Macaca fascicularis: one gene and its partners. The protein of the gene in region 5 interacts with the protein of the main gene of each other region in a biochemical or structural test. Links are inferred from orthologs where the notes say so. Each region holds a gene or a part of one and is shown on either strand. Other genes may lie near its edges.

Region 1 (3,500 bases), on a different chromosome or scaffold from region 5:
CTCTGCCAGCTTTCAAGACATTTTAAGCTTTCATGTTTCTTGTCAGCCATGATTCTTTATAATCAATGCTTTAAAAGAACATAGGAATTCCTATTTGTACATGCTTGTTTTCACAGGATATTTTTAAACAAGCTACTGAAGATAGATTAACAAGTGCAAAGGAATTGCCTTACTTCGAGGGTGATTTCTGGCCCAATGTTCTGGAAGAAAGCATTAAGGAACTGGAACAGGAGGAAGAAGAGAGAAAACGAGAAGAAAACACCAGCAATGAAAGCACAGATGTAAGGGCATTGAGTTTCCTTTGAAACTTCTATAATATTTAATCCAAAAGTGCATTTAAACTTTTTTTTTTTTTTTTTTTTTGAGACGGAGTCTCGCTCTGTCGCCCAGGCTAGAGTGCAGTGGCACAATCTCTGCTCACTGCAAGCTCCGACTCCCGGGTTCACGCCATTCTCCGGCCTCAGCCTCCCGATTAGCTGGGACTACAGGCGCCCGCCGCTGTGCCTGGCTAATTTTTTCTATTTTTAGTAGAGACGGGGTTTCACCATGGTCTCGATCTCCTGACCTTGTGATCCGCCCGCCTCGGCCTCCCAAAGTGCTGGGATTACAGGCGTGAGCCACCGCGCCCGGCCTAAACTTTCAATTGGGTTTTAAACCTCTCAGGTGTGAAAGAGCTCTTTAAGTTGGGCAAGAAATGTTGGCTTAGAAAGGTTACTAGGGTTCCGTTTCAGTGGTATTAAACTTTCAAAACATCAGACCCCATTTTAAAATGGTATCTCAGACTATGAGTAATGTGAAATGATAAAAGAAACTGAAGGAAATCCTGAAAAACTGATAACTTATGTGAAGGACTAGGTTATTAATATTATAGGCCTTGTGTGTCACATATCTCTGGCATATTTTCTCTCTTCTAAAACCACACACGCTCTTTTTAAATGTAAAAACCATTCTTAGCTATGCAAAACAGGCCTGAGCCAGAATTTACCTGTTATTACGGCTTAGTAACCTCACCAGTTACTTCCCTATAGCATATCTAGAATTACCTCCATTGAATTTAACTTACAAAAGGCTCCCTTAAATAGTTTAACAAACTCTTACAGCCTTATCGTTTAGTATTTGTGGGCTCATACATTTTAGAATGTGGGTGGAAGGAGATAAAACCAAGGTCTTCTGGCTCCCCATTTTGATACACTCTTCACTACCCCAAAGTGCCAACCCTTCCTTGTTCCCTAACTCCAATCTGGGATACATTCAATCTATAGGGTCTGTACATTCTGTGGCCTCTTCTAGGCAGAAAGCTAAAGGGCTGCCATTGCCTTAATGAAGGATCACTGGGAGAAAATTAGTTCAAATAACAAAGGAGAAGGAATAAGTGAAGAGAACAGCTAGTAAAATAAGATACAAGCATAAGATTATGATACCTAGTTTCAAAGAATGGAGATATTCAATAGTGTTATTCCCAGATTACTTAACAAAAACCTTATTTTCTTGTCTCCTTTGTGCTACTCTGCAGGTGACCAAGGGAGACAGTAAAAATGCTAAAAAGAAGAATAATAAGAAAACCAGCAAAAATAAGAGCAGCCTAAGTAGGGGCAACAAGAAGAAACCTGGGATGCCCAATGTATCTAACGACCTCTCACAGAAACTATATGCCACCATGGAGAAGCATAAAGAGGTAAGATGCAGCCACCCACGCAGTTGGGGAAAAACAGCAAGATTTCTGGCCAGGCGTGGTGGATCACCTGAGGTCACGAGTTGAAGACCAGCCTGACCAACGTGGTGAAACCCTGTCTCTACTAAAAATACAAAAATTAGCCAGGTGTGGTGACAGGCACCAGTAATCCCAGCTACTCGGGAGGCAGAGGCAGGAGAATTGCTTGAACCCAGGAGGCGGAGGTTGCAGTGAGCCGAGATCGTGCCATTGCACTCCAGCCTGGGCAATGAGAGCGAAACTCCATCTCCAAAAAGAAAAAAAATGAATAAAATCACTGTTCGCTGGGCATGGTGGCTCATGCCTGTAATCCCAGCACTTTGGAGGTTGCCTCACTTAGGTAATGATTATTAACAATTAATAGTTACTAGCTATTTCAAGCAGTAAGTAATGCCACAGAATCCTAGGCAGTCGGGAAAAGCCCTTAGAATATATTGTAATAGGTTTGACTTAAATTGTGGACACATTCAATTTAGGTTGTAAATGTAGGTATTGGCCTGGTTGTAGGGTGGCAGAAGCAGCGAACATTGCTGGCCAGAGACACTGTGAGTGTGGCTGCCAGTGTGCACAGATGTTGAATAATCTGTTATCAATACAGCAGTTTCTCACAAGTTCCTAATTTCTTAAGGTGATGTTTTACATTTTGTTACTTTAATAGGCATTTATAGTTATATACTAATTAATGTCAAATACATAATAATACCAGCTTTTTATACCTTTTACACTAATGGTTATGAAAATTGATGGTTGTTAACGAGTTCTTTTCAAACTTCAGTGAACAAGAATTTTATTGCTTTGTCTACAAGGACTAAGATTTTTTATCCATTTCACTCCCTTTCAAACCTGTAGGAAAAGTTACACAGGAAAGTTGCACAGGGGACCTTCATGAGTCCAGGCCAGTTGTTTTTCATACTGTCTCCATATTTGGATTTGTCTGGTTTGTTGTAATTAGTTTGAGGGTAAACCATGGATTGCATCTTAAAGTAGACTGCCTTGGGGCAAAATGTCCACTGTGTGTGGTGCTCTACCTGACCTAGACCATTCTTACTCTGAAGGAGTTATTGAATAAGGGAGAAAAAATCACAGGATGTGCATTTCAGTTCTATTTATAGTCAGTCTCAAGATACCAAAAAGGTAAAGCAGGAAAAGAGAGCAGGAGGAGTATGGTAAAACTAACTCAGCATGGCCGGGCGCGGTGGCTCAAGCCTGTAATCCCAGCACTTTGGGAGGCCGAGACGGGCGGATCACGAGGTCAGGAGATCGAGACCATCCTGGCTAACACAGTGAAACCCCGTCTCTACTAAAAAAATACAAAAAAAAAAAACTAGCCGGGCGAGGTGGCAGGTGCCTGTAGTCCCAGCTACTCGGGAGGCTGAGGCAGAAGAATGGCGTAAACCCGGGAGGCGGAGCTTGCAGTGAGCCGAGATCTGGCCACTGCACTCCACCCTGGGTGACAGAGACACTGTCTCAAAAAAAAAAAAAAAAAAAAAAAAAAACTAAGCATTCGCCAGTCTCATTGATGCTTAGCCTGCTTTACCTGCTCACACCTGTAATCCCAGCACTCTGGGAGGCTGAAACAGGCAGATCACTTGAGCTCAGGAGTTTGAGACTAGCCTGGGTAACATGGTAAAACCTCGTCTCTACAAAAAATGCAGAAATTAGCCAGGCGTGGTGGTGTGGGCCTGTGGTCTCAGCTATTCAGGAAGCCAAGGTGGGATAATTGCTTGAGCCCAGGAGGCAGAGGTTGTAGTGAGCCAAGAGCACACCACTGCACTCCAGTCTGGGTGAC
Region 2 (4,290 bases), about 2.2 Mb from region 5:
TCTCTCTGGCTGGCTCACAGGCTCACCTGAGATAGGGGCTTAGAGCTCATGGGCTGCTGGACCCTCCAACAGGTGTCTGACAGTCCCCCTCCCGACCTGGGAGGCTCCCGGTTTCAGGAGGGGGCTTCCTGCCTCATGGTAAGTGGGTCAAAAGGGAGGCAGCGGGAAATAATGGTCTCTCTTGGTCTGGCCTGGCTGGGGTGAAGCACTGTGTGTGTGTGTGTGTGTGTGTGCGTGTGCGCACGACCAGGGTCTGTACCAGGAAGGGCTGCAGGCGGGGGAGGGGCATGCTTCTTCACAGCCCCTTCCCCTGTGACCTCGGGCAGATCTTTCACTTTTACCCAGTACAACTGCCTCCAGCTAGCCTGGACAGGCAGATTCCGGGGCTGGAGTGGTCCGGCCCAAGGCTGAGAAGGGCTGGGACCCCCGACAGTGACATGATGGGCTCAGCCTCTGTTCCATCTACTGGGCAGGGTGGACCTCCGCAGATAGCGGCTTCAGACTCCAGCTCCAGGGGGCTGGTGGGAGTCTCTCAAGGTGTCCCACACATGGTCCCACGGGGAAAGAGTGGAGCTGACCCCTGTCCTCCCTCCCGACTCGAGAGCTTTAGGGCCAGCAGGTGTGTGAGGGCTCCAGGTGCGCGGAGCCCTCGAAAGGACACCAGCCCAGCAGCAGCAGGCCGCGCGGGGGCAGCCGAAGACCCCATCCGGCGCAGGCCAGGGCCGAGCTGGCAGCGGCGGGTCCAAGCCCTGTCAGCTGGCGCAGGAGGCCCAGGGGCGAGCGCGGGACGGAGCTAGGAGCTGGGGTCCGGACCGGGCCGGGGTCGAGCTGGGCCTGGCCGGACACTGGACCCGCCGGGAGCCGGCCCCTGCCGCGCAGGGCTGAGGCCCCCGCCTGCAGACAAAGGAGCCGGCGGGGGGCGGGAGCGGGGGGGGGGGGGTTTGCAGGGGGGATGGGGCGAGGGGGCGGGGCGTCGCGGTGTCACGTTACCGCCCGCAGCGCCCTTTAACTCCCGCCCCCGCCCCGCTCACCGCCCCCTTCCCCTGCTACAGCGCGCTCGCCCCGCGGCCGCCAATCAGCCGCGCGCCCCGGCCGCGCGCCCCGCCCCTCCCCCGGTGGGTGTGCGCGCGGCCAATGGGCGGTGCTCTGGGGCCGGGCCGCGGAGGGGCGGGGCAGCGGGGAGGCAGCCAATCGCCGCGGTGTTGTTGAAACTGAAAATACTACATTATGCTAATCGCGGCCGGGCCCGCGCGCACGGGGGTGGGGCCCGCGCGTATAAAGGGGGCCCAGGCGGGCTGGGCGTTCCACAGGCCAAGTGCGCTGTGCTCGAGGGGTGCCAGCCAGGTCTGATCCAGCGAGCGAGCCAGCAGGCATCGAGGGGGCGCGGCTGCCGGCCGAACGAGACAGACGAACCCGACGCAGGAGAGTCTACCACCGGACAGCCAGGTAGCCGCCGCGTCCCTCGCACACGCAGAGTCGGGCGGCGCGGGGTCTCCCTTGCACCCGGCCTCCGCCCTCCCCTCCTCTCCTTTCCCCTTCTTCTCGCTGTCCTCTCCTCTCTCGCTGCCCGCGTTCGCGCAGCCCCGGGCCATGTCCGACGCGTCCCTCTGCAGCACATCTACGATGGAGCGTCTTGTCGCCCGTGGGACCTTCCCAGTACTTGTGCGCACCAGCGCCTGCCGCAGCCTCTTCGGGCCGGTGGACCACGAGGAGTTGAGCCGCGAGCTGCAGGCCCGCCTGGCCGAGCTGAACGCCGAGGACCAGAACCGCTGGGATTACGACTTCCAGCAGGACATGCCGCTGCGGGGCCCAGGACGCCTGCAGTGGACCGAAGTGGACAGCGACTCGGTGCCCGCGTTCTACCGCGAGACGGTGCAGGTGGGGCGCTGCCGCCTGCTGCTGGCGCCGCGGCCCGTCGCGGTCGCGGTGGCTGTCAGCCCGCCCCTCGAGCCGGCCGCTGAGTCCCTCGACGGCCTCGAGGAGGCGCCGGAGCAGCTGCCTAATGTCCCGGTCCCGGCCCCGCCGTCCACCCCGCCCCCAGCCCCGGTCCTGGCTCCAGCCCCGGCCCCGGCTCCGGTTGCGGCTCCGGTCGCGGTCGCGGTCTTGGCCCCGGCCCCGGTCCTGGCCCCGGCCCCGGCCCCGGCCCCGGCTCCGGCTCCGGCTCCGGCTCCGGCCCCGGCTCCAGTCGTGGCCCCGGCCCCAGCCCCGGCCCCAGTCGTGGCCCCGGCCCCGGCCCCGGCCCCGGCCCCGGCCCCCGTCCCGGCCCCGGCCCCGGCCCCGGCCCAGGACGCGGCGCCTCAAGAGAGCGCCGAGCAGGGCGCGAACCAGGGGCAGCGCGGCCAGGAGCCTCTCGCTGACCAGCTGCACTCGGGGATTTCGGGACGTCCCGCGGCCGGCACCGCGGCCGCCAGCGCCAACGGCGCGGCGATCAAGAAGCTGTCCGGGCCTCTGATCTCCGGTGAGCCCCGCACGGCCCCGCCCCGGCCCGGCCCGGCCCCGCTTTGTCCGGCCGGCCGGTCCCCCCAGCCCTCGGGGGCCTAGCTGGGTTCCCGCCTCCTCCCGTGGCATTAAAGGGCCCGCAGCGCTCAGGGCGCGGCTGCGCCCGCACCCCCCCTCCCCGCCCCGTTGTTATGTCCTCCAGCGGCTTTGCGCGGGCGGGGTGGGAGGCTGAGTCCCGGCCGCGACCCCCCGGGAGCGCGGTCTTCGCCCCTGGCGCGGGAGCCCCTCCCCGGGCGCGGCCGGGCTCCGTGAGCACGGCGCGGAGGGGGTTAAGCGCGGCGGCGGCCCCGGGGGGCTTGGCCGCGGGACAAGGGGAAATGCTTACACAGCACATTGCGCGGCGACGTAAACAAAGCTGACCCGCCGCGGACCTCGGCGCGGGCGGGGACGGCGCCCCCACCCCGGCCGGCCCGCGCCCCGTGCCCTCTCCTGGCCCCCTCTCGGGGCTCCGGGCCGGCCCCGCCCTGACCGGCCGCGCGCGCTGTCGCCCGCAGATTTCTTCGCCAAGCGCAAGAGATCAGCGCCTGAGAAGTCGTCGGGCGATGTCCCCGCGCCGTGTCCGGCTCCCAGCGCCGCCCCTGGAGTGGGCTCGGTGGAGCAGACCCCGCGCAAGAGGCTGCGGTGAGCGAAGTGAGTACAGCGCACCTGGGGGGTGCGGGGGGCTGACCCGCGGGGTCCCCGCCGGCTTTCCTGACCGCCCTTCTCCCCACAGTTTAGAGCCCAAAGAGCCCCGAGGGAACCTGCCGGGGCAGCGGACGTTGGAAGGGCGCTGGGCCTCGGCTGGGACCGTTCATGTAGCAGCAACCGGCGGCGGCTGCCGCAGAGCAGCGTTCGGTTTTGTGTTTAAATTTTGAAAACTGTGCAATGTATTAATAACGTCTTTTTATATCTAAATGTATTCTGCACGAGAAGGTACACTGGTCCCAAGGTGTAAAGCTTTAAGAGTCATTTATATAAAATGTTTAATCTCTGCTGAAACTCAGTGCAAAAAAAAAGAAAAAAGAAAAAAAAAAGGAAAAAATAAAAAAACCATGTATATTTGTACAAAAAGTTTTTAAAGTTATACTAACTTATATTTTCTATTTATGTCCAGGCGTGGACCGCTCTGCCACGCACTAGCTTGGTTATTGGTTATGCCAAAGGCACCATCCATCTCCCACATCCGGTTATTGACAAGTGTAACTTTATTTCCATCGCGGACTCTGGGGAAAGGGGTCACTCACAAGCTGTAGCTGCCATACATGCCCATCTAGCTTGCAGTCTCTTCGCGCTTTCGCTCGCTCTCTTATATTACTGTGTTTATCTTAAACTTGAAGACAAATCTGTTAAAATGGTTCCTGAGCCGTCTGTACCACTGCCCCGGCCCCTCGTCCGCCGGGTTCTAAATAAAGAGGCCGAAAAATGCTGCAACTCCAGTCTGTTTGTGCTTGTGCCTGCCTCCAGCTCCCTTCTCCTGCACCCCCAAAAGCTGGAGAGCTAGAACGCAGGAGAGAGCAGGCCAAAGTGGGCATCCCCAGTCCATCCAAAAGGGGAAGCCTCTCTCCTGGCTGGGCCTGGCCCAAATCCACCTGCTCCAGTTCCCTTATCTCAGGAGGGGCGGCCGGCCTGCAGTGCACCCTGCATTTATCACCTCCCACCTGCGGGGCTGCAGAAAGACAAGCGTGGGCTTCACATAGCCCCAGCAGGCAGGGAGCACAGCCCCTGACTTGCTGCCCAGACTCAGGCTTGTTTAAAGGAAACCATGAGAAACCCCTCTGCCCCCAGCTGATGGGCTCAGGACCCTGCTAGTTT
Region 3 (3,500 bases), on a different chromosome or scaffold from region 5:
CACACTCTATCACATTCTCCCTTAGATATTATTATATAAATGAACATTAAATTCTCAGGCCAACCCTCAAAAACTTAACTGTCACTTAAAATCATATTTCAAGGAAAAGTCTGTTGATTTATAACACAACAACAGGACATCATCTTCTGTTATACCCTTCAAAAGCATACCTCAAATCCCAAAAGTAACAAGAAATTCCTTTCTTACCTTCCTCCAGTACCTAGCCATAAATAATTTCACACATCCTAGTCCCCATCATGAGCTCCATTAGGAAATAAGATTTAAATTGGGCCAGTTCCCAGGGAAGGTAGAGACAAAGCCAGGATGAAAAAAGGGTAATAAAGCAGTAATATTTGCTTAAATATGTATTCAATTCTGAAGCTCAAAAGAGCCTCTACTGTTAAAACTATTATTTTTATAGTTTAGTACAAAAAAAATAAGTTATGTGAACTAGGCTGGAAACCTAACTACTATATCAAACTTACAAACAGATTTGGAACACAATGCACTTATAAATTGAAAACTACAGTATGTATACTCACTAATACTCTCTATAATCAGCTATCCCAAAATTTCAGAACACCAAAAATCTAGTATTTTAGGAAGAGAAAAGTGAAGGAGCTCTGATTCCATTTAATTGTATATGCACAAAAACAGCTTTGTACATGAAGTACCCAAGTCAGTTAAAATATACACTAGATGCCTGGGGATTATAATACCCAAGTCATACATTCAAGATACTTCAGTATTCCTTTCTTTTTAGATAAGAAATGTGAGACTATGTTCAATTCTTTGGAAATTATGACACTTGTTTTCTCCTTTTTACTGCCAGAGATTTTATTTAATGGTTTTAAACACTTTTCTTATGGGACATACATAAACACATTCTGTTGTGTTAATCAGATCAGTAAAAACATATATACTTTTATACTACTATTTTGAGAAAGTAAATTCATTAAAAGTATCTGTCCGAAGTGTAATCTACCAATAATCATCAAGAGTCATAAAAATGTTCATAGCTTTTGATTTAGTAATTCATCTTATACGAATTTATTCTAATAAAATAATCAGAGATTCATTCATTAATTTATTTAACAAATTATCAAGGACTCACTTTGTGCCAGGCATTAGTCTTACAAATACAAATGTTTATTACATTATTTTATAGCATCAAAACGTTGGAAAAAACCCAAATATCCAGTAAGAGTTAACAAATTAAAATATATCCAACAGCTAAAATATTATACTATCACTAGAAACTATATTACAAAAAAATTTAATAACATAAGAAAATGCTCATATGAGAAAAAAACAGGAAAATACAAAACTATGTGTAACTACATGTAACTATACATAACTACATGTATAATCTCAAATTTATATTTGAGATCTTATTTCCTAGGGACCTTGGTCAAGTTACTCAACCTCACTCTACTCGGTGTCTTCATCTGTAAAAATAAAGATTTTATATTTCATATCTCAATGGTTTTTAAACGAGTTATTTGTAGATTTGTAAAGTTGATTGTTTTGTGTGTGTGTGTTTTTTTTTTTGAGATGGAGTCTTCTCTGTTGCCCAGTCTGGAGTGCAGTGGCATGATCACAGCTCACTGCAAGCTCTGCCTCCTGGGTTCAAGCGATTCTCCTGCCTCACCCTCCCAAGTAGCTGGGATTACAGGCATCTGCCACTATGCCTGGCTAATTTTTTTATTTTTAGTAGAGATGGGGTTTCACCATGTTGGCCAGGCTGGTCTTCAACTCCTGACCTCAAGAGTTCAACTCCTGACCTCACCCACCTCAGCCTCGCAAAGTGCTGGGATTACAGGTTTGAGCCACCACGCCCAGCCTTATTTTTGTTTGTTTGTTTATTTACTTATTTATTTATTTTGCAACAGGGTCTTCTTCTGTTGCCCAGGCTGGAGTGCAGTGGTGCGATCTTGGCTTACTGTAACCTCCGCGTCCCAGGTTCAAATGATCCTCCCACCTCAGCCTCCCAAGTAGCTGGGACTACAGGCACACGCCACCATGCCCGGCTATGTAAAGTTCTTATACTATTGCCCCAGTACATATAAAACTCTAGTAATTATTTGCTTTTATTAAACATATACATTTATACATATGCAAAGAAAAACATGAAAGGAATATATCAAAATATTTTCAAGATCCTGAATTCTAACAAAACTAATTCTGAGTCAATCAGGAAATCTGAACACTGATTGCATATTAGAAGGTATAAAAATTATTTTATAAGGTATGGCAGTGTTTTTTTAAAAGTCCTTGTATTATAGTGAATAAAATATAACTAAGACCTGCTTTAAAATAGTTTGGTGGGAGGCATATATGGAGGGATTTTTTTCAAACTTTTTTTTTTTTTTTTTTGAGACGGAGTCTCGCTCTGTTGCCAGGCTGGAGTACAGTGGCACAATCTCCGCTCACTGTAACCTCCACCTCCTGGGTTCAAGCAATTCTCCTGCCTCAGCCTCCCAAATAGCTGGGACGACAGGCGCACACCACCACACCCTGCTAATATTTTTTTTGTATTTTAGTAGAGACAGGGTTTCACCATGTTGCCCAGGCTGGTCTCAAACTCCTGAGCTCAGGCAATCTGCCTGCCTCGGCCTCCCACAGTGCTAGGATTACAGGCGTGAGCCACCGTGCCCAGCCTCAAACATGTTTAATGTTAGCAGAGGTAAATTTCCTCTGGGTAGTGAAATTATTATTAGCTTTTATTGTCTTTATATTCTTCTATCTTTCAATTTTTATATAGTGATGTGAAGTTGTTTTTAAAATGAGAAAAAAAAATTTCAAAACATTTTAAGAAAATCCTTACCAATACTCCATCCACAGATGAAACTTTCTCCCAAGTTAACCAAGCTCTCTCTCTGACATGATCTGGTATCTTTAATTTCTGACATAACGCAGTAAAATCAGGTTCTTCGGTTTCTTCAAACTCAAGCCTACCAAATGAAAATAATCATATAATTGGCATATACTTATAAGTCAAATTGATTCAGTACACACTTGTTTCAATAGTTTGCACATAACACTACTGTGAAAGAGAACATTATTAAATACTTTAAGATCTTATTTTATCATAGAAAAAATTACACTTCAAATTTAAACATGATTATCTTTTTCATGGTCATTCCAAAACAAGGATACCACACAGTGAAAAATATTTGCTTGCATGGTAAGTCAAATATACTTCAGAGCAGCAAAACACTTCTGTGAAGGAAAATAAATGTAACAGCTAAAGCTGTTTGGGAAAATAGGACAAAGATAACAAGAAGATAAAAACCCATAGATAATATTATACAATTCAACACCAGTAACTTTGTTAAGCTGTAGTCTACTCTTATCAATGTTTCACATAACCTCCCTACTAGCACATCTTACATGATGTGACTGCTTATTTTTGTCCTTTCTCCTTAACAAAGACAAGCATTCAATAAATTCTTGTTGGCTAATTCCTTTTCATTCATCTAATTTCTATGTGACATCTA
Region 4 (4,252 bases), on a different chromosome or scaffold from region 5:
AATTTTATAAAGGCAAAAATTTGATTTACTATGAGATCAGTAACATGGTTTTAAAGTCAAAAGATTTATAGAAGTAGTATGTCCAATTCAAACAGAATTTTGCCGGGTTTTAATTTTTCTACAAAGCACTGAAGTAAATAATTTTGTGAAAAGTTTTTCTTTAATATGTTTTAAAGGGTTTCAAGTATTCTACAGATAGAGATTTTGGGGAGAACACCAAATTCTTTCCAAAAAGACAGCTATTTCAAGTTTTCTTTTACTCCATTGTAGAAGGTTTTAAAGACTTTTTTTCTCCAAAAGCTCATTTTCACCTGAAATAATTGTATTCAAGGGTTTCTCAGCAGGTAAAGTATACATTCTTACAAGGTTTCAAATTTCAGATTTCCAATAATGCATTTAAACTGAGCACTCCTCTTTCTGTGTATGTATCTATTGTCTGCAGTTCTATTATTTACACTAAATTTTAGTCCTTTTAGCTCCTCTGAAATACGTTAGTGAACCCTCAGCAGTTACTAACCACTTAATAATTGTGAACCCGCCAGCCCCTTCAAGTAGATCGTTAACCATAAGAGTGCCTGACAATTTCCAAACCATACCCTCTGTCTAAAAGGAAAAGATAGGGCTTTGTGAGGCAGAAAGGAAGCGAAGGAAAACAAAACAAATGTAGCTCATGCTGAAAGTGAAAAGTGCTTGAACAGATTAGTATTTTCTTTTCTGCAAGGCATCCTGCCAAACTTTTTCTTTATTTTTTTAAGAGAAGAGTTATTTTTTGGTCTGATTTTTCAGTTTCTTGGAAAGTATTGGTATTTACCACCCCCATCGGCCCTTCATAATTATTGTTAGTTGTTTTGTGTTTTTCCCATCCGTCCACGTCACACAGTGAGGATACCCCCTGCTTCACCCTGTCAAAACCCCAACTCTGGGCGACCCTGGGTTTGGAAACTCCGCCGACTCCCGACGACACGTCCCACTCTCTCCCACTAACGCCGCTTATTTTAGTCGCAGGATCCCCCTACTACAGTTTCAGTGAAAGCCGGAAATTTTCATTTAACTCCCCTGCCCCCCCAACCCCCCCGCCCCGCGCCTTTCTAGCCCCCGACTCGTAGAAGGGAGCTAGGGAGCCCGGAGCTCGGAGCACTGCCGGGGCTTGGCCGCCTCCTTTCTCTCCGGAAGGCTTTAATTTGCACACTTTCTTGCCACTGCGCCACGAGCCCCCAGCCTCGCCGCTGGGTGGGTCTCCGGCAGAGTTGGCTTCTCGGGTCCCTGCCCCCACCCCGCGCGGTCGCCCCCGCTGCCTCCCTGGCTGGGGCCCCCAGCGCCGGCCAGAGCCCCGCGGCCCCCGTCCGCCCCCAGCTAGCGGCGCGGGCGGCGCCCTCCGCCTTCCCTCCGCCCTCCGCCGCTGTGCCCACCCCCTCGCCGGAGAGAGTGCTGGTAACTCCTTCCCCAGAGTCTGATTACCTGCTCCGCGAGGCCGCGGACACGTGCGGAGAGCCGACTGACACTCGCAGCCCCCTCAGGAGGCCCGACGCGACTGGGCCCCTCAGGTGAGGAGCTGTGCGCTCGGGTGGGTGGGCTGCGGGGTGGGGGGTCCCTGGGGAGATATGGGGGATTGGCCGGGGTCCGAGGCAGAACTGTGGGTGGGGTAAGTGGAGGCTGGCGGGGGGTGGGGGGGACCTGTGTTTCCCTGGAATCGGCTTTGGTTAACCCCTTACGAACTGAGACGGCGTTGGTTATGGGGGCCAGTTTTGGGGAGCTAGAGGATTCTAATCTGACGAGAGGGGGAGATCCTACGCTAGGGACACCCGCGACACCGAGATCCTGCTTCCACGTACCCGTGCGCACACACACTCACACAGAACACTCCTCATCCAGTTTCTCCAAACGGAACTGGAACTTTACTCGGACATTCACATAATAATTCACATTTAGGGTTCAAAATGCACTGCCTCTAGGGACTCCATGCTGGAGAATGTGCTTGCATTTCCCCCACGAAAACTCCCTCGCCAGCTCGCTGAGGTGTGGGTGTGGGCTCCACCTTCCCCTCCACGAGATAAATGTTAACGCAGGCTTCCTGCGGGCGTGTTATGCACAGAAGAGTGCACGCAGCCGGCCGGTGCCCAGGCTTGGAGCCCCACGAAGACGCACGTTTGCTTTAGTTTCCAAGTTTACTTTTATCATTTAAAATATTGGAGTTAAACACACGCCCCGTGGTGAGCAGCCCTTGTCCCCGCAGGGCGCCCGTCCGTGTGCATATGGGCGCATCTGCGTGTGCGCACACGCGGGAGTCGCGGTCCCCGGTGTGGCCTCTTGTTGCCGTGCTGGTGGCGACCCTTGTGGTGCTTGGCAGGCTTCGGGAGAGGCGCATGAAGGATTTCATTGAGTGTGAAGACAGAGAGCAGAGACAGAAAGCAGAAGGAGGCGGCTGCAGCCTTTGTAGTCGCGGAGGAATGCGGAAATGTTGAAGCACTATGTCAAACTTTTTTTGAAATGGGGTCAAGTCACATTCAGCCAGCGTGGGAAAGCAACAACAACAACAAAAAAAAAGTGGAGGAGAGGGGGGGAAAAGGCATTGCTGCTCCCGTTTCTCTCCGCCGAAGCCGACCGTCTGGGGGGCGAGTGGGGGGAGAGTCAGGGTAGTGCGGGGCCCGGCGGGGGCAGCAGGCGAAGTTCCCTGCGGGGGTGGGACGTCCCCGACGCTTCCTTCGCTGCGGAGCCCGGGGCTAGACTCGAGCGGGAGGGGGATGGGGGGACGCAGGAGAGGCGGGTTGGGCGGCCGGCGGCGGCTCCCCGGCTACCTGTGTGGCCCTCGACCTGGCTCAGACGCCCGGGCAGTCCTTGGGGGCTCTTTCCTCGGCTTTTAAGGAAAGTTCTGAATGGAGTGAGTGCCAGAAGCTCTGCTTTCGCCGCGGTCCGCTCCACGCGCTCATCGTGGGGGTCGCGCCGTTTGTTTAATTCCTGGCAAAAGGCGAGCGGGGCAGCGGTTGCGAGGCAGGTAATTCCGAGGTGCCCCGGGAATTCCGGACACGCGGCCAGCGTGGTGAAAGTCCTGCCGAGGCCGCGGCGGCCGTGGGGGAGGGAGGCTCCCTAGGTCCCAGATAGCTGCTGAATGGGGAGGGAAAGTTAGGGTACCCTTCTCCGGCGCTTTGTTATGCAGAGGGCTCCGGGGGCGTCCGGCTGCAGCCTGGACCCGGCCTTTAGCCGGAGAGGGAATGGGGCAGCCACCTCCGCTACCTACAGCGGGGTGGTCCTGGGAGTGGGAAAAGGTTCGCGAGTCCGGGCCCCGAGGGCAGAGACCTTGTTTCTCACCCCTGGAGGCGCAGGGTTTAACCCCCCACCCCCCACCCTTTGAAAGAGAGGTTGAGTTTTGCTCAGGTCGAAATCAATTTAAAACTTCAGGACGAGGCGCGATTAAGCTATCCTCTTCCTGAAATTATTCTTTAAGAAGACGACAAGCGAAATTGTGACGAACACCCCTTTCTCCCACCCTTGGGATCCCGTGGGGGACAGTGTCTCCCCTCCCCCAGGACCTCTCGTTCGCCCACCCCCGATTAGCCCCAACCCTCCCCGACCAGATGGCTGGTCTTCCCAAGGTTTCCACCAGGGAGGTCCTCCCAGTCGGAGAGAGAATTCCGTTTCCAACCGAGACTCCTTTACCCCAAAGAGACCATTTGTGTATGCGAGTCGTTTTTAAATGTCTCCTCGTAGAAAAACTGAAAGTAGAAAGAAAGGAAGCAATTTCTGAGCAGATGTCTGACCACCCCTTCTCGCACACTCACAGCATCGGGTTACAGGGTCCTGGGAGCCCCCACCCACATTCTGCGGCCCCACACGGATGGACCCACAGTCCTTCCGCTCCAGCTTGTGCGCGACCCTTGAACGCCCTCCGGCACCCCTGGACCCCATCTCCCTGCACGTCCGGGCCTCAGGAGGCGGGGAGGGTAGCGACGCAACACAATGATATAGGGATAAATATTAAGCCGTGACATTGACGTGCCCGGCGCCTCCCCTCCCCCGCGCTCCCGGCACACTCTGGGCTGCTCGGCACGCCCCCTCCCGTTCCACTGCGTCCCGCGCCGCTCGCTCATCCCCGAGGGGCCCCTGCAACCTCTCCGCGCGAAGACGGCTTCAGCCCTGCAGGGAAAGAAAAGTAACTTCGCTTTTCTCGGAGGAACCAGGAAGGATTAAGCGGCTTGGGAGAGGGCAGGAGCGCGCGGAGGGTAGCGATGGAGGCTTCGTAAAGGAGGAGGAGGGG
Region 5 (4,237 bases):
GTTTGTTCTCCTCCGCCTCTGGCATTTTGGAAAGGAAGTGTTCGATGAAATCGTGCGGGGTCATGGCGGCCAGGTTCCACTTGAGCTTGTTCACCAGGAGCAGCTCCATTTGCTGCGAACACAGGGTGAGCGGCCATCAGGGGAGGTGCGGGCCGGCCCGGGGGCGCGGGGAAGCCGGCAGCATGGGGGCCCGGGCCATGCAGCACCTCCCGCTCAGAGCACTGGCCCCTGCGTCTCGTGCGGTCCTGGAGGTGGGAGGGGAGGGCTGGCGAATGATGGGGGTGGTATCGGGGAGCCGGGGCAACACGCGATCCCAGATCAAAACAGAAAAGGTGCCCGCTGCGTGAAAAGACTCTGCAAGTGGAAACAAAAAGACCTCCCACCACCTGAAACAGAAGGCTCAGTGCGGAGCGCGGCGCTCCTCGTGCAGCCGCTGGAGGGCGCGCGCCGCCCACTTTTCGGCCACACTGCCGGGCGCGAACGCGGTGGGAGTCGCAGGCAAGCGACTTGGGGGCGGTGGGACGGGGGCGGCTAGGATCCCGCCCGCTCCCGGGACAGGGACGCCCGGCGGCGGGGCCGCCCTCCCTGGGAGCAGATATGTCAGAGGCGGGCCGGCCGCCACTGCCTGCACCTTCCCCGGCCCCGTGATCCTGCGTGCGACTCTCGGGGGGCAGGGGGCGGCGGGGTCCCGCGGTTACCAGCAGCTCTTCGGGCCGGATGGAGTTGTCGGTGTAGATGCACAGCTTCTCGGCCGTCAGGGGGATGGTCTCCTTCATCTTAGAGGCCACGAACATGCAGGTGGCCCCCAGCAGCTGCAGGCGGCTCTTTTTCACGGGCTCCAGCGACAGGAAGCGGTCCAGGTAGTTCATGGCCAGCGGGAAGACCTCCTCCTCGCACTTCTGCTCCTCGCAGACCTGCGGAGGCACGGGGCCCGTGACCGCCGCCGCCAGGTCGCGCCGCCCCACCCCCGCCCCCGCACCCCCCCATCGCGCTCGGCAGGACCGCCAGTTCTGAAGGGCGCGGAGGGGTGGGGGCCGGGGGCGGAAGGACCTTCCTGTGATGCGCCCCCTCCCCCGCGCGTCCCCAGTACCCACCCTCCCCGAAACTGAAAGGGAAAGTCCCCGCGAGGCTGGCACGGTGGGGGCGGGAGCGGGCACAGCTGGGCGGCGTGCGCGGCGGCGCGGGCTGCCAGCCCTGGGGACCCCGGCCCGCCCTGGAGCTCCGTGGTCCCTCTGACTGAGGGTCGACACCCACTGGGGTGCGGGGCCGCGGAACGGGCCGCGGGGTTGGGCGCCGCGCCTGCGAGACACAAAGGTGGCGTCCCAGGCCGCCGCGCCGCATTTCCCCAGACGTCATCTTTTCAAAAAATATTTAAAAATATTAAAAAAATAACTAAGTGCATAAAAAAACCCTGAAAATGACCCTCGGGCGACCCTTTACCCAGGCCGAGGGTCGGGAGTTCGTTACAGGCTCCGGGGGGAGCCCCAGGAATTCAAACTCCGGGGCCCCCCTTCCCCCTGGGCGCGGGCGGCGTTTCCCTCTCGCAAGGGCACCACGCCGCACTTTCAAAAATTATTTAAAAATACTTGCGGGCCCCTCAGGCGCCCACCGAAGGTCTGAAAATGTGCTCCCAGGCCCCCGGCTCCCTCAGAGAAGGTCCCCCAAGCCGAGATCCCTGCAGACGGGGATCAAGCCCTGGCGTCTTGGGGGCCACGCGACCTTGCAGCTCGGCGTGCTCTCCGGCCCTGGCTGCCCATTTGGGGCGCCCCGGGACTCGCTGCTTAAACAAAGGGCCCCCCTTCCCGAGCGGGGTCCCCCCAAAACTCCCCATGCCGCGTCCCTGCGCCCCTCCCGCGGGCTCCCGGCGGCCGCGCGGCCCCTAGCTGCGGCCCCAGCGCCCGGCGGCCGCTCCCCGCCCCCACCCTGCCCCCAATTATTAATAAACACTTTTGCTTTGCAATAAAAGAGCAAAGATGGCGCATAATACTGGCACGAGCGGCCCTTGCATACGTGTCCATGGATATTAATTTAAAAATCAAATCTATGCCCCCTCCCCCCGGAGTTGGCGGCTCTCGGCCGCAGCGGCCGCGAGAGGAGGCGCAGCCGGGCTGGGGCGCAGGCGGGGGGCACAAAGCGCACTCAGCCTGCCAGCCCGCACCCTCGGGCCCATTGGGGTGCCCCGACACTGGCTTCTCCCGACGGCACCCCTCCCCAACCCCCTTCTCCCCTCCCACGAAACGCAACTTATAGCACCCCCACCCCCACCCCTTCCTGCTTCAGAAAATACCCACAATTTTTATTTTTAAAATGCGGATCCCTAGCAACACCACAGCAAACTTCAAAGTTCTAGCGGGAGAGAAGGGAGGGGGGTGAGGAGCAAAGAAACGTGGGTCTGGGCAACAAGTTGCAGGGAAGTCTTAAGAGAGCCGCCCAAAGCCCCGCACCTCCAGCATCCAGGTGGCGACGATCTTCCGCATGGACGGCAGGACCTCCTTCTGCACACATTTGAAGTAGGACACCGAGGGCGCGCAGGTCTCCTCCGCCTTCAGCATGGCCCGCAGCACCCGGTCGTTGAGGAGGTTGGCATCGGGGTACGCGCGGCGGATGGTTTCCACTTCGCAGCACAGGAGCTGGTGTTCCATGGCTGGGGCTCTGCCTGGGCAGCTAGGGAGGGCTGTGGGTCCGGGCTGGGTCCGCGCTCGGCTCTCGCTTCTGCTGCCCCGCGCTCCCTCGCGCTATTCTGCCCCTCGCCGGAGCGTGCGGACTCTGCTGCTCGCTGCTACTGCGCCGACAGCCCTCTGGAGGCTCCAGGACTTTGCAACTTCAACAAAACTCCCCTGTAGTCCGTGTGACGTTACTGTTGTTAAGCAGAGATCAAAGCCGGGCAGAGAATGGGAGCGGGAGGGGGGCGGGGGCGGGCGCAGGGGGAGGGGGCGCGGGCGCCAAACGCCGGGAGCAGCGAGGGGCAGAGCCCAAAAGCCATCCCCGAGGCGCCGCGCCTGCCCTGCGGCGGAGTTGCCCCCGTAGTCCGGTTTTCATAGAAATGCAAATCGCCCCGCTGCAGCCTTTCTCCCCGCCAGGGAAGAGGGGTGCAGGGGGCCCCGTCCGCCTCGAGTGGGTTCCCCGGGATTTAGGGGGTGAGGTGGAGGTGGCTCTGCAGTAGGGGACCACTAGGAAGGCCGGCAGGCCACACGCAGCCTGGGGAGACCACGAGAAGGGGGGACTCTAGGGCGCGGCGACACCCCATATCCAAGCCGGCAGAATGGGCGCATTTCCAAGAACGCCACGAGGGCACCCACGGGCGGACAGACGGCCAAAGAATCTCAGCGACTGCATCTTCTTTCATTTTCATTAACACGTGTAAATTTCAAGAACTATTTAGCATACAGGGACGGGGAGGACCGGGCACACAACCCCTGTGCAAGTTTCATTCCGGCGCACAGGGGCGTCGTTGCAAATGCCCAAGGGGGTAACCCTAAAAGTTAAAGGAATTTCAGCTTAGCATGCGCTCGCTCAAAAAATAAAATAAAATAAATGCCCGAAAATTCCAGCAGCAGCCCAAGATGGTGGCCAGCATTTCCTTCATCTTGTCCTTCTAGCCTGGAGACTCTTCGGGCTGCCTTCCTACCTTGACCAGTCGGTCCTTGCGGGGATCCCCAAATGCACCCCCTCCCTTCCCGTGCCGGCAATTTAACCGGGAGAAACACACGTCTGAATGGAAAGCTGAGAAACAGTGATCTCCGTTCTGACTCATTTTTTTAATTAAAAAAGAAATTAAATTGCTGGAAATATTAGTCGCCTCAGCCTGGGACAAGACCACTGGAAGGTTCCTAATTGGTTTTGTTGGGGGTGTAGACGTCCCTTCACCTTTAGAGTTTGCCCTGGGACTAAATTCGTGAGCATGAGGGGGCTGGCAGGAGCGGGCATAATTCAGAACAATTATCAATTAAACAAATGAGTGTACTGATCTGATTTTTAGCAAAATCGATAGGTGTTCGTGGTTTCATGAGAGGGTCCCCACTACCGCAAACTTAAGCAGATGTAAATTAAAATACATAGTTTTTAAAATAACAGGTTCTGTCTCTTTGGTGCATTAAAAAATAAAAGGACATTTTACTGTCTTAACTTTTGTTTTTGTTATTTTAATAGTACCTGCCCCAAATTAAGAAAACTGTTCATTTACTTCCTTTTGAATATAGTTTAGTGTCATCAAACCACCGTATCCTCTTAACAGTAA
Region 6 (4,077 bases), about 110 Mb from region 5:
GAAACCATGTTCATCCTAACCCAAAAGAATGAGGAAAGAGGCAGAGAGATAAGAATATGAACTACTATCACCTGCCCAGAACTCAGGCATCCTGATTTCCCCTTAGGTGAGACCAAATGCCATGACAACATAGGAAAAATAAACAGTGCTTTGTTTCAGGGTTGTGGCTAAGATGAAGTTACCTAGGTAGTCACTCCTACCAGTGAGAATCTGAGAAGTCTGAAACAGTACAACACTTCATTGTTTTTCAAACCCTGAGGCATAGATATGTTTAGGAGTATTTCCCAAAGGTTTAGATAATGTTGACTGGGCCTACAGAATTTGGAATCTCATTTAGAATCTGAGTCCCTGAGGAAGCCCTGAAATTGTCCTGACTCTTCAGGAATGTCCCAGAAGGTTCCAGAACAATAGGACTGCTGCTGGGGGAAAAAAAAAAAAAAGACTCCATCCAAGGAGACTATGACCCAAACCTAAATCATATGAGCAAAATTGAAACAGCCTGAGGACATTACTAAGGACAAACTGTACTGGTTGACGCACAGGTTCTGAGCTATCGCTGAGCTATCGTTAATTGGTGAGAAGGAATTTTAAAGCCCTCTTACAAAGTCATGAAAAGCTGTTCCATTCGTCAGAATTCCCCCAAAGAGTAGATGACCTTAACCCGTATGCCTGCTGACTCTCAAGCATGTAGCCAAACAGGCTCTCATTAACTGATTTCCGCATGGGCTATAGGGGATTAAAGACTGAGCACAGCTCTGAAATTTAGACAAACCAAGTAGTTCAGCATTAAGATGGGCTAAAGAAGAGACATGGATTCTTGCACAGCTAACAGAGAATTCACAACTCAAGTGCCTTTAGGGTACCTGTAGTTAATGTAATTATGCAAAGCAACTAGGTGTCTGACAGCCCTATACCTAAATCAGTGGTCCTCAACCTTGACTGTAGATTAGAATTACCTTAAAAAATGTTGATGCCCTGGGTCCCACCCCTAAAAATTCTGATTTAATTGGTCTGGAGTATGCCTGAGCATTAGGTTTTTTGAAAGTTCCCCTGGTGATTCTAATGTGGCCAAGATTCAGAACCTCTGGCTAAGATGGGGCATCAACATCCCATCATCCCATCTAAGGCGATCAAATCAAACAAAGACCACATCTCTGGCCATAACAACAGTAACAACAGCAATAGGTCTATCCCTAACTTAGTCTTCTAGACATTGATTTGTAACCCCTGATCTAGACTATTATAGCTTGGGACTGGAATGTAGCCAGCCTCCAAAGCTGATAGCACTACCTGGACTATTACAGTATACACTGAATGAATGAGCAGAAAACAAAAACCAAGCTACATACCTGGCGCTCTTCATGTTTGCCATGCACCTCAATCACATCTCCCAACACCTTAACTTTGAGTTCCTCTGGGGAGAAGTGCTTCACATCCAGGTTGACAGAGAACCTGTCCTTCTCCAGGCGCATCTAGAAATAGCAAGGTAAGGGAATGGGACGGGAGAAAGATGGCGAAAGTACTCATTATACTGGTGTTGTCTTATTCTGCAGAGTTGCTTTCTGTCCAGGTAATTCATCCTTCTCTTTTCTGCTTTAAAATATCCCCTTTTTAAATAAACATGGCTCTCTGCTTCAGGGAGCCACCACAGTGATACCTAAGGCTCATGGTGATCCGACCCAAACTTTATTTACAGGGACAGAGAAGAAGACAGATCACCCAGGGGACCAGTCGCAAGGATGGGTGCAGGCCTGGCATCTGCTGCCTCTCTGGCTCCGATGCCTGGCTTTGTGGTTTGTCTGTGAGACAAAGGCCTCTTCTTCTGGCTCAGGTCTCTTTGCCAGTTTTCCACCCACCCAATCTGGAATGTTCTGCTGGTCCTGCTTGTCCTTCCAAAGCCCTTGCCCACTCATCTCCTGTTTACTCACACTCGAATATTTTTAAACCAGAGCGTTATCTGTGACAGCTTCTGTCAACCTTATATGTTCACCCTGTTCTCTCACCCTCTTAGGACGAGTGGGGGTCCCTATATTGTTTCCTCATAAGGCTTGGTTGGACCCAGGCCAATGCCCTGTCACAGCCCTGAGAAACCCAGAAAATCACAGAAGAGGGAATAAAAAGGCAGAAAATGCCCATGAGGGTGAACAGCTCAGGCAGGGTGAGGCAGGGCTCTCTCCTGGCTCTGACACCTGAGATGGTAAAATTGGTCAAGAGTCCATGGTGTTAGAAGAGATGAGCAAAGGAGTTTGAAGGCAGCTCTTTCCCTGCAGATTGTTATGAACCAAACCAGAAAGGGGTACCCTGCAGAGAAGTTAGGGGATGGAGGATGAACTTGACAGTGCATGAAAAAAATGTAATAAATGGGATACAGAGGACCATCAAGTAGAAACAGGTGACGGGGGAGGGAGGAACTAGCAACCTCCTCATTTTTCTTCACATTTGGATACACATGTGCCTAAAATGGTTTAGGCAGGAAAGGAGAGGAAAATGGATGGAGAAGTTTACAGGAGGTTCCAGTAAGGACTCTCCCATTCTAGCAGTGGGGAGACTCACCTCTGAGAGTCCAGTGTCAAACCAGCTGGGTGCCCGCAGGAAGGAGGGTGGCCGAAGGTAGAAGGGGCTCAGGGAAGTAGACGTCGGGAAAAGATCAGACTCCAACAGGTGCTCTCCAAAGAACTGGTCAAAGAGGCGGCTGGGGGAGTGGAAAGGAAAGAAGGGGCGGCGGATCCAGGGGTGGTGGATGGCGATGTCCATGGTGGCTAGGTGAGTGTGGGGGGTCAGCTGGCTGGTCAGCTCCTTCAGCTGCAGCTACAGCCAGCCCCTTATATATGCAGTCTTGTGAAGCTTCTGGAATGGTGATGTCAGGGGTTTTATTATCCTAGCTCACCGCCGGTTCATGGAGACTTGTGATCGGGGATTTGGCAGTGTGACACATACCCAGTACTCACTGAGCTAAGAAAAGAGAAACACAAACACGTCTGAGCCGGCCAGTGACTTGTCATGGTCTTGTTTCACTAGCTTTCTGTACACACCCAGTGGCACCCACCCCCACCCCAGTTCTCTGAAGCTGGTACAGAGTCAGGAATCCCAAGCAGGCACGCGGGTGGGTGGAGGGGCAGGCGGTGGAGTGTGCCCCTCCTCCTCCTCCTCTTCAGTCCTGAATGCCAGGGGAATCAGGCCAGCAACTATCTTGGGCCTGGGCAGGGACTGGAATCTTCCTAGGCTGGGCCCCAGGGACATTAACTCTTTGTGAGTCCTTGGAAGAGAGCAGTGATGGTCAACATGCGGGTACCAGCCATCTGCCTCCTGCCCTGGGTTGACCTGGGTTTAGGAGAGGACTCCGACATCTGGGCAGAAAGACCCCACTCCCTGAAAAAAAGAGCAGAAAGATTTCTTGCATCTTTCATCCTATGTGGCTCTCAGAACATTAAATCCAGGAGTGCTTTAGGAATTGGGTGCACAGTGCCGGCCTCCAAGGAGGAGAAAATGAGGTGTGGAAACGTGCAAACCGTTTGTGAGGGTTTCAGCGAGGCCTCTTCATGCCCCAGGCACCACCAGCTCCCCCTTCTCAGCTCGTTCCTAACCAGGACCCTCAGCTGTCCTCTCAGGCCCCCTGCGACAGCTGAAGAGTGTGCGGGGGAGGGGACTAGGGGTCCAGGCGGCGCTGGTCACACCCTCGTTGCTCTCACTCAGGGCCCCCACTCCCCGCCCCTCCCCCCCAGAGGCTCGGCACTATTTTGGGTGGTGTCGACCCCGCCCCCACCTCCTATCGAGCCCTGGCTCTCCGGGCAGCTGGAGGGGTCGCGCTGCGCCTGTTGGGGCTGCACCTCGGACCAGGGCTCCCGCTGCATCTGCAGCCATGTCGGGCCGCTCAGTGCCACATGCCCACCCAGCCACCGCTGAGTACGAATTTGCCAACCCGAGCCGCCTGGGTGAGCAGCGCTTCGGAGAAGGTATGGCACAGATGCCACCCCCTTGCCTCCCACCCCCACCCCCTGAAATTCTGGGCTGACCTCCCAACGTTACTGGCCTCCACCCCACTCTGGGCTTAACTGATCTCCTGGGACCAGCCACCCC
Region 7 (4,018 bases), on a different chromosome or scaffold from region 5:
ATAGATAAATGGGAACACCAATTCAATAGCATTCATTAGCCATGAGAAACTCAACGGTAAAAGGCCATAAGCAACTCAATGCTATAAAGGACTGGAGATTTGCATCATTGGACAATCAAATGGGAAACCACTTTATCAATGGAACTTTGCAGGAGGAACAACGGAACCAGAAAAGTGGGGAGCTCTTGGCTGACTCCCAGTAGGAAAGACCTGTCACTAGGACTAGTCATCTCCTCTAATGGTCAATACTTACCTTAGCAGGGCAGGCGCAGTGGCTCATGCCTGTAATCCCAGCACTTTGGGAGGCTGAGATGGGCGGATCAGCTGAGGTCAGGAGTTCGACACCAGCCTGGCCAACATAGTGAAACACCGTTTCTACTAAAAATACAAAATTAGCTGGGCATGGTGGTGCATGCCTATAATCCCAGCTACTCGGGAGGCTGAGGCAGGAGAATCACTTGAACCCAGGAGGCGGAGGTTGTGGTGAGCCAACATCATGCTACTACACTCCAGCCTGGGCAACAAGATCGAAACTCGGTCTCAAAAACAAACAAGCAAACAAAAAAACTTGCCTTAGCATATCTTGGTTTAGTCTCCTTGAGCTTCCTTCTTCTAAGCCTTAGCCTGGCCATCTTCAGGAAAACCTGTTCTTGCTTATCTATGCCTACATGTAATATGATATTTAAAACCTGGATTTAGACTCAAACTTGGCTGATTTACCAGCTCTGTGATCTTAGTTAGACATATGAATCTTCTAAGCCTCAGCTTCCTTATCTGTAAAGCAAGACAAATACTCTCTTCCCACAGGTGTGTGGGAGGATTAAATGAGATAACTTTGATACATTTAGAACAGTTATGCACCAAACTCTATTCTAAAGACTGCTGTTTATCTTATGGAGTCAATATCATCATTTTGTTTTCCATCCCACATAACAGTTGGATGCCAATATGAAGTGTATATTTATAACTGAGAATCAACTATTTTTACTGAATGAGGAATATTAATGAGAATGATTTTAACCAAAACAGCAAACGATGGCACTGGTGTGCTGTGTGTGAGTGAGAATAGCTCAGGAATACCAGAGGGGAAAAGGATTTCAGAATCAATAAGTACTTTTGTGAGCTATTTCACAAAAATGACATGAAAGAAAATATTTAGAGATACGGAAAAGGTCAAACTAACCTGAAACTCAGTTTTATTGACAAAAGTTTAAGTTACCTTTAGCATATTTCATCATCCCATAATCAGGACCATCAATAAATATTTACTGAGTGCCTACTGCAGTCAAGACACTGCAGTGTGGGCTGCAGTTAATGTCCAGGTGATGGGAGAATTGCTTAGAAGTACGAGCAATTGTACTTTCCTGGATGACTAAAATCTAATTGGAGAGTCAGGCATAGCATAAAAATAAATCTATAGAAGAAAAATCAGTAAACAAAAGTAGCCTACAAAATTTTCCCATGTTTTTTGGGATGCACTTATATGGCTTTAAATTTTAAAAATATTTTGAAATATAAAGCTTAAAAGAGTGAACAACTCGGGTCATCATACTTTTTTTTTTTTTTTTTTTTTTTTTTTTGCCAGAACCTCACTAGAGGAAGATATTAGATTGGATGATATGAAAATGTCAATATTTAACCTTTTTTACATCCAAAAAAACCCCAAAATTTCATGTGGTTCAACCTTGATTTCAGTAAGCTATTTCTGAAAGCTGGATACATGTTGAAATATGAGTAACATTTGCAGTCCATCTACTCTGGACTCATGCTAATTCCTTCTGGGGCCTTTTCAGATTCAAGATAGATTCGCAGGAAAAAATGCATAATATTTAAACTGACGGACTGGAAAATTAGCATGAAAAGTTCACCAGTGTTATGGAAAATTTCACCCAACACATTTCGTAAAGAACAAAAACCTAAACACACATGGTAGATCCACTTCAGCAAATCATGTTAGTGCAGCAACATTATCCAACAATAAAATTTTAGAACAATTTTCTCCCCAAGGGACTCATTTTCCTTAGAAAATTATGCAAAGTGTGAACAACTGTGAAATACAATTGTCACCCAAAATATTTAACTTGACAACAGATTGAAAACTGTTACAATGTAATATAATTTACAATGACTAAAATTTTAATTTTAATGGGTAGTACCCATAAAAGTTGTCTAGTTTAATTAATTTCCCTTTTTCATTGGTGCTGTGGGTCTTAAATTTATATTTTGCTACATCTTTATAAAACAACTTTAAATTCCCACACATTAAATTTCTCTACAACTGTCTATCTAAATCAGAGTTTTTAATGATAAAGACATGTGATGCCCCTGTATGAATAGACAGAGAAAAAATTAAAACGAACAAAAAATGTATTCCCCCTGTGTAAGATATAGACTTTTTTTATCATTGAAGACTTGTTTGGCTAACTTTACAGTCCAAAAATTCTCCTAATTTGAAAGATTGTCATTATAAATTAAAATCTCTGAAAACCTCCAGACTATGTATCAAGTCTTTGAAGATATCAACATTGTGCCCATATATATCCCATAGCCTTGCCTTGGTATCACCTTGTGAGACACAAATGTTCTTTCTATGGCATGTGCTTTTATCCTGATGTGTGAGGCCTTGGTCTGATAACCTCCTTACATAGTCATCTTAATATTCAGTTGCCCAAGGGAAAGTTAATAGAGTAGAAAAAATTAAAACTTACCTTCTTTGGTAGCTACAGAATATAATTCACAATCAAAGGGATTGGTATCAGATTTTGGAGATATTTGAGGCTCTGCGATTATTTCTCTGACTGCTTAGAACCTTAGAATCTACCAGAATAAAATCTATTAATCAAATATTTTTTTTGGACTAAGCTTACACAGTTTGTTCAGGCATTGTTAGCATGTCTGGAAGAGTCATCTCTGCTTTCGGGAAAATTACGTTGACTGAAAGAAAGCACAAAACAATCGTCTCAAAACCGTCAGTAATTTTTCTAAAGGATGTCAAATGTGCACTTCACAGCGAGGGAAAATGTTGACCAATACTGTTGTTTGTGATAAATACATCACATCCTAGTGAAAATGTGGTATAGCAGGTAACAAGTTTCCATTCTGTGCACTAGAACTGAAAAACTGTACCTAGAAAGGATATTCTGAAAAATACTAATTATAGGGACAAAGCCTTAATATTCTTAATACAAACAGCTCTTAAAAGTCTATTTTAAAAATGGAACATGTGAACAGAAAAACTAATAAAAATTTACAAAGGACAAAATAATGGAGACCAGTAAACATAATTTTTAAAGGTCACTGTTAATTGGAGAATTTCAAATTTTTAAAACTGTGTGCTATCAGGTTTTAAATATTTATGGTGGTTATAATGTAGGAAGTAAGCATTCTCAAACACTGCTGGCGAAGTATAAAATATTACAACCTTCCTAGAGCACTATGACTTTATTCAAAATCTTAAAATACTCAAAGGAAAAAAAAGAGCTTTCTTTCATCTACAGTTCAAAATAACATAACTTAAAACTATATTATTCCTAGGCCTATATATAACAAGACATCTTCAAAATGTTGCCTTCTTATGCATGAATATGATGTAATTCTACTTATTTAGATCTTCTTTAATATTTCTCAAGAAAATTTTTCCTCTAATAAGTTTTTCTACATCTTATGTTAGATTTATTTTCTAATGTTATTGTCTTTTTTCTAGTATAGTGAAATGACATTGACTTTTGTATATTAATTTTATATCCTGCCTTCTTGCTGAGCTCTCCTACAATTTCTAATAATTTATCTGAAGATTCTTTGGAGTTTTTTATGTAAATGTATATATCATCTGAAAATAATTAGTTTCATTTCTTCCTTTTCAATCCTTATATCTGACTCTACAATTCTCTAAATTTTTGTCATATATATTTTGAGGCAGCTTAATTGGGTATGTATACATGTTTAGAATGGATATTTCTTGGTGAATTGAAACTTTAACCTTATGACTTCCTCTATTACTATAATGTTTTTTATCTAA

What was found.
Region 1: the proteins of CCND1 (region 5) and EP300 form a complex in vitro, tested with the Homo sapiens proteins (2 studies listed by BioGRID). The link is inferred for Macaca fascicularis from reciprocal best matches to the Homo sapiens genes CCND1 and EP300.
Region 2: the proteins of CCND1 (region 5) and CDKN1C form a complex in vitro, tested with the Homo sapiens proteins (2 studies listed by BioGRID). The link is inferred for Macaca fascicularis from reciprocal best matches to the Homo sapiens genes CCND1 and CDKN1C.
Region 3: of the proteins of CCND1 (region 5) and RB1, one has a biochemical effect on the other in vitro, tested with the Homo sapiens proteins (15 studies listed by BioGRID, with this or other methods). The link is inferred for Macaca fascicularis from reciprocal best matches to the Homo sapiens genes CCND1 and RB1.
Region 4: the proteins of CCND1 (region 5) and CDK6 form a complex in vitro, tested with the Homo sapiens proteins (3 studies listed by BioGRID and IntAct, with this or other methods). The link is inferred for Macaca fascicularis from reciprocal best matches to the Homo sapiens genes CCND1 and CDK6.
Region 6: of the proteins of CCND1 (region 5) and CRYAB, one has a biochemical effect on the other in vitro, tested with the Homo sapiens proteins (2 studies listed by BioGRID, with this or other methods). The link is inferred for Macaca fascicularis from reciprocal best matches to the Homo sapiens genes CCND1 and CRYAB.
Region 7: the proteins of CCND1 (region 5) and ESR1 form a complex in vitro, tested with the Homo sapiens proteins (2 studies listed by BioGRID). The link is inferred for Macaca fascicularis from reciprocal best matches to the Homo sapiens genes CCND1 and ESR1.

The regions. Positions count from the first base shown.
Region 1 is NC_088384.1:10,442,487-10,445,986, reverse strand, and holds part of EP300 (histone acetyltransferase p300), read left to right. Parts: intron 1-116; coding exon 117-281; intron 282-1,513; coding exon 1,514-1,675; intron 1,676-3,500. UniProt on the Homo sapiens protein: Functions as a histone acetyltransferase and regulates transcription via chromatin remodeling. Acetylates all four core histones in nucleosomes. Histone acetylation gives an epigenetic tag for transcriptional activation.
Region 2 is NC_088388.1:2,803,911-2,808,200, reverse strand, and holds CDKN1C (cyclin-dependent kinase inhibitor 1C), read left to right. Parts: upstream 1-1,490; 5' UTR 1,491-1,590; coding exon 1,591-2,458; intron 2,459-2,993; coding exon 2,994-3,124; coding exon of another isoform or gene 3,125-3,129; intron 3,130-3,211; coding exon of another isoform or gene 3,212-3,353; 3' UTR 3,354-3,909; downstream 3,910-4,290. UniProt on the Homo sapiens protein: Potent tight-binding inhibitor of several G1 cyclin/CDK complexes (cyclin E-CDK2, cyclin D2-CDK4, and cyclin A-CDK2) and, to lesser extent, of the mitotic cyclin B-CDC2. Negative regulator of cell proliferation.
Region 3 is NC_088391.1:27,436,600-27,440,099, reverse strand, and holds part of RB1 (retinoblastoma-associated protein), read right to left. Parts: intron 2,955-3,500; coding exon 2,828-2,954; intron 1-2,827. UniProt on the Homo sapiens protein: Tumor suppressor that is a key regulator of the G1/S transition of the cell cycle. The hypophosphorylated form binds transcription regulators of the E2F family, preventing transcription of E2F-responsive genes.
Region 4 is NC_088377.1:128,509,896-128,514,147, forward strand, and holds the start of CDK6 (cyclin-dependent kinase 6), read left to right. Parts: upstream 1-1,452; 5' UTR 1,453-1,544; intron 1,545-4,089; exon of another isoform or gene 4,090-4,252. UniProt on the Homo sapiens protein: Serine/threonine-protein kinase involved in the control of the cell cycle and differentiation; promotes G1/S transition. Phosphorylates pRB/RB1 and NPM1.
Region 5 is NC_088388.1:5,018,136-5,022,372, forward strand, and holds the start of CCND1 (G1/S-specific cyclin-D1), read right to left. Parts: upstream 2,801-4,237; 5' UTR 2,643-2,800; coding exon 2,445-2,642; intron 915-2,444; coding exon 699-914; intron 113-698; coding exon 1-112. UniProt on the Homo sapiens protein: Regulatory component of the cyclin D1-CDK4 (DC) complex that phosphorylates and inhibits members of the retinoblastoma (RB) protein family including RB1 and regulates the cell-cycle during G(1)/S transition.
Region 6 is NC_088388.1:110,836,565-110,840,641, forward strand, and holds the start of CRYAB (alpha-crystallin B chain), read right to left. Parts: upstream 2,801-4,077; 5' UTR 2,755-2,800; coding exon 2,554-2,754; intron 1,764-2,553; exon of another isoform or gene 1,695-1,763; intron 1,473-1,694; coding exon 1,350-1,472; intron 16-1,349; coding exon 1-15. Other genes in the region: HSPB2 (heat shock protein beta-2), read left to right, coding at 3,860-3,953. UniProt on the Homo sapiens protein: May contribute to the transparency and refractive index of the lens. Has chaperone-like activity, preventing aggregation of various proteins under a wide range of stress conditions.
Region 7 is NC_088378.1:59,861,242-59,865,259, reverse strand, and holds the start of ESR1 (estrogen receptor), read right to left. Parts: upstream 2,801-4,018; 5' UTR 2,709-2,800; intron 1-2,708.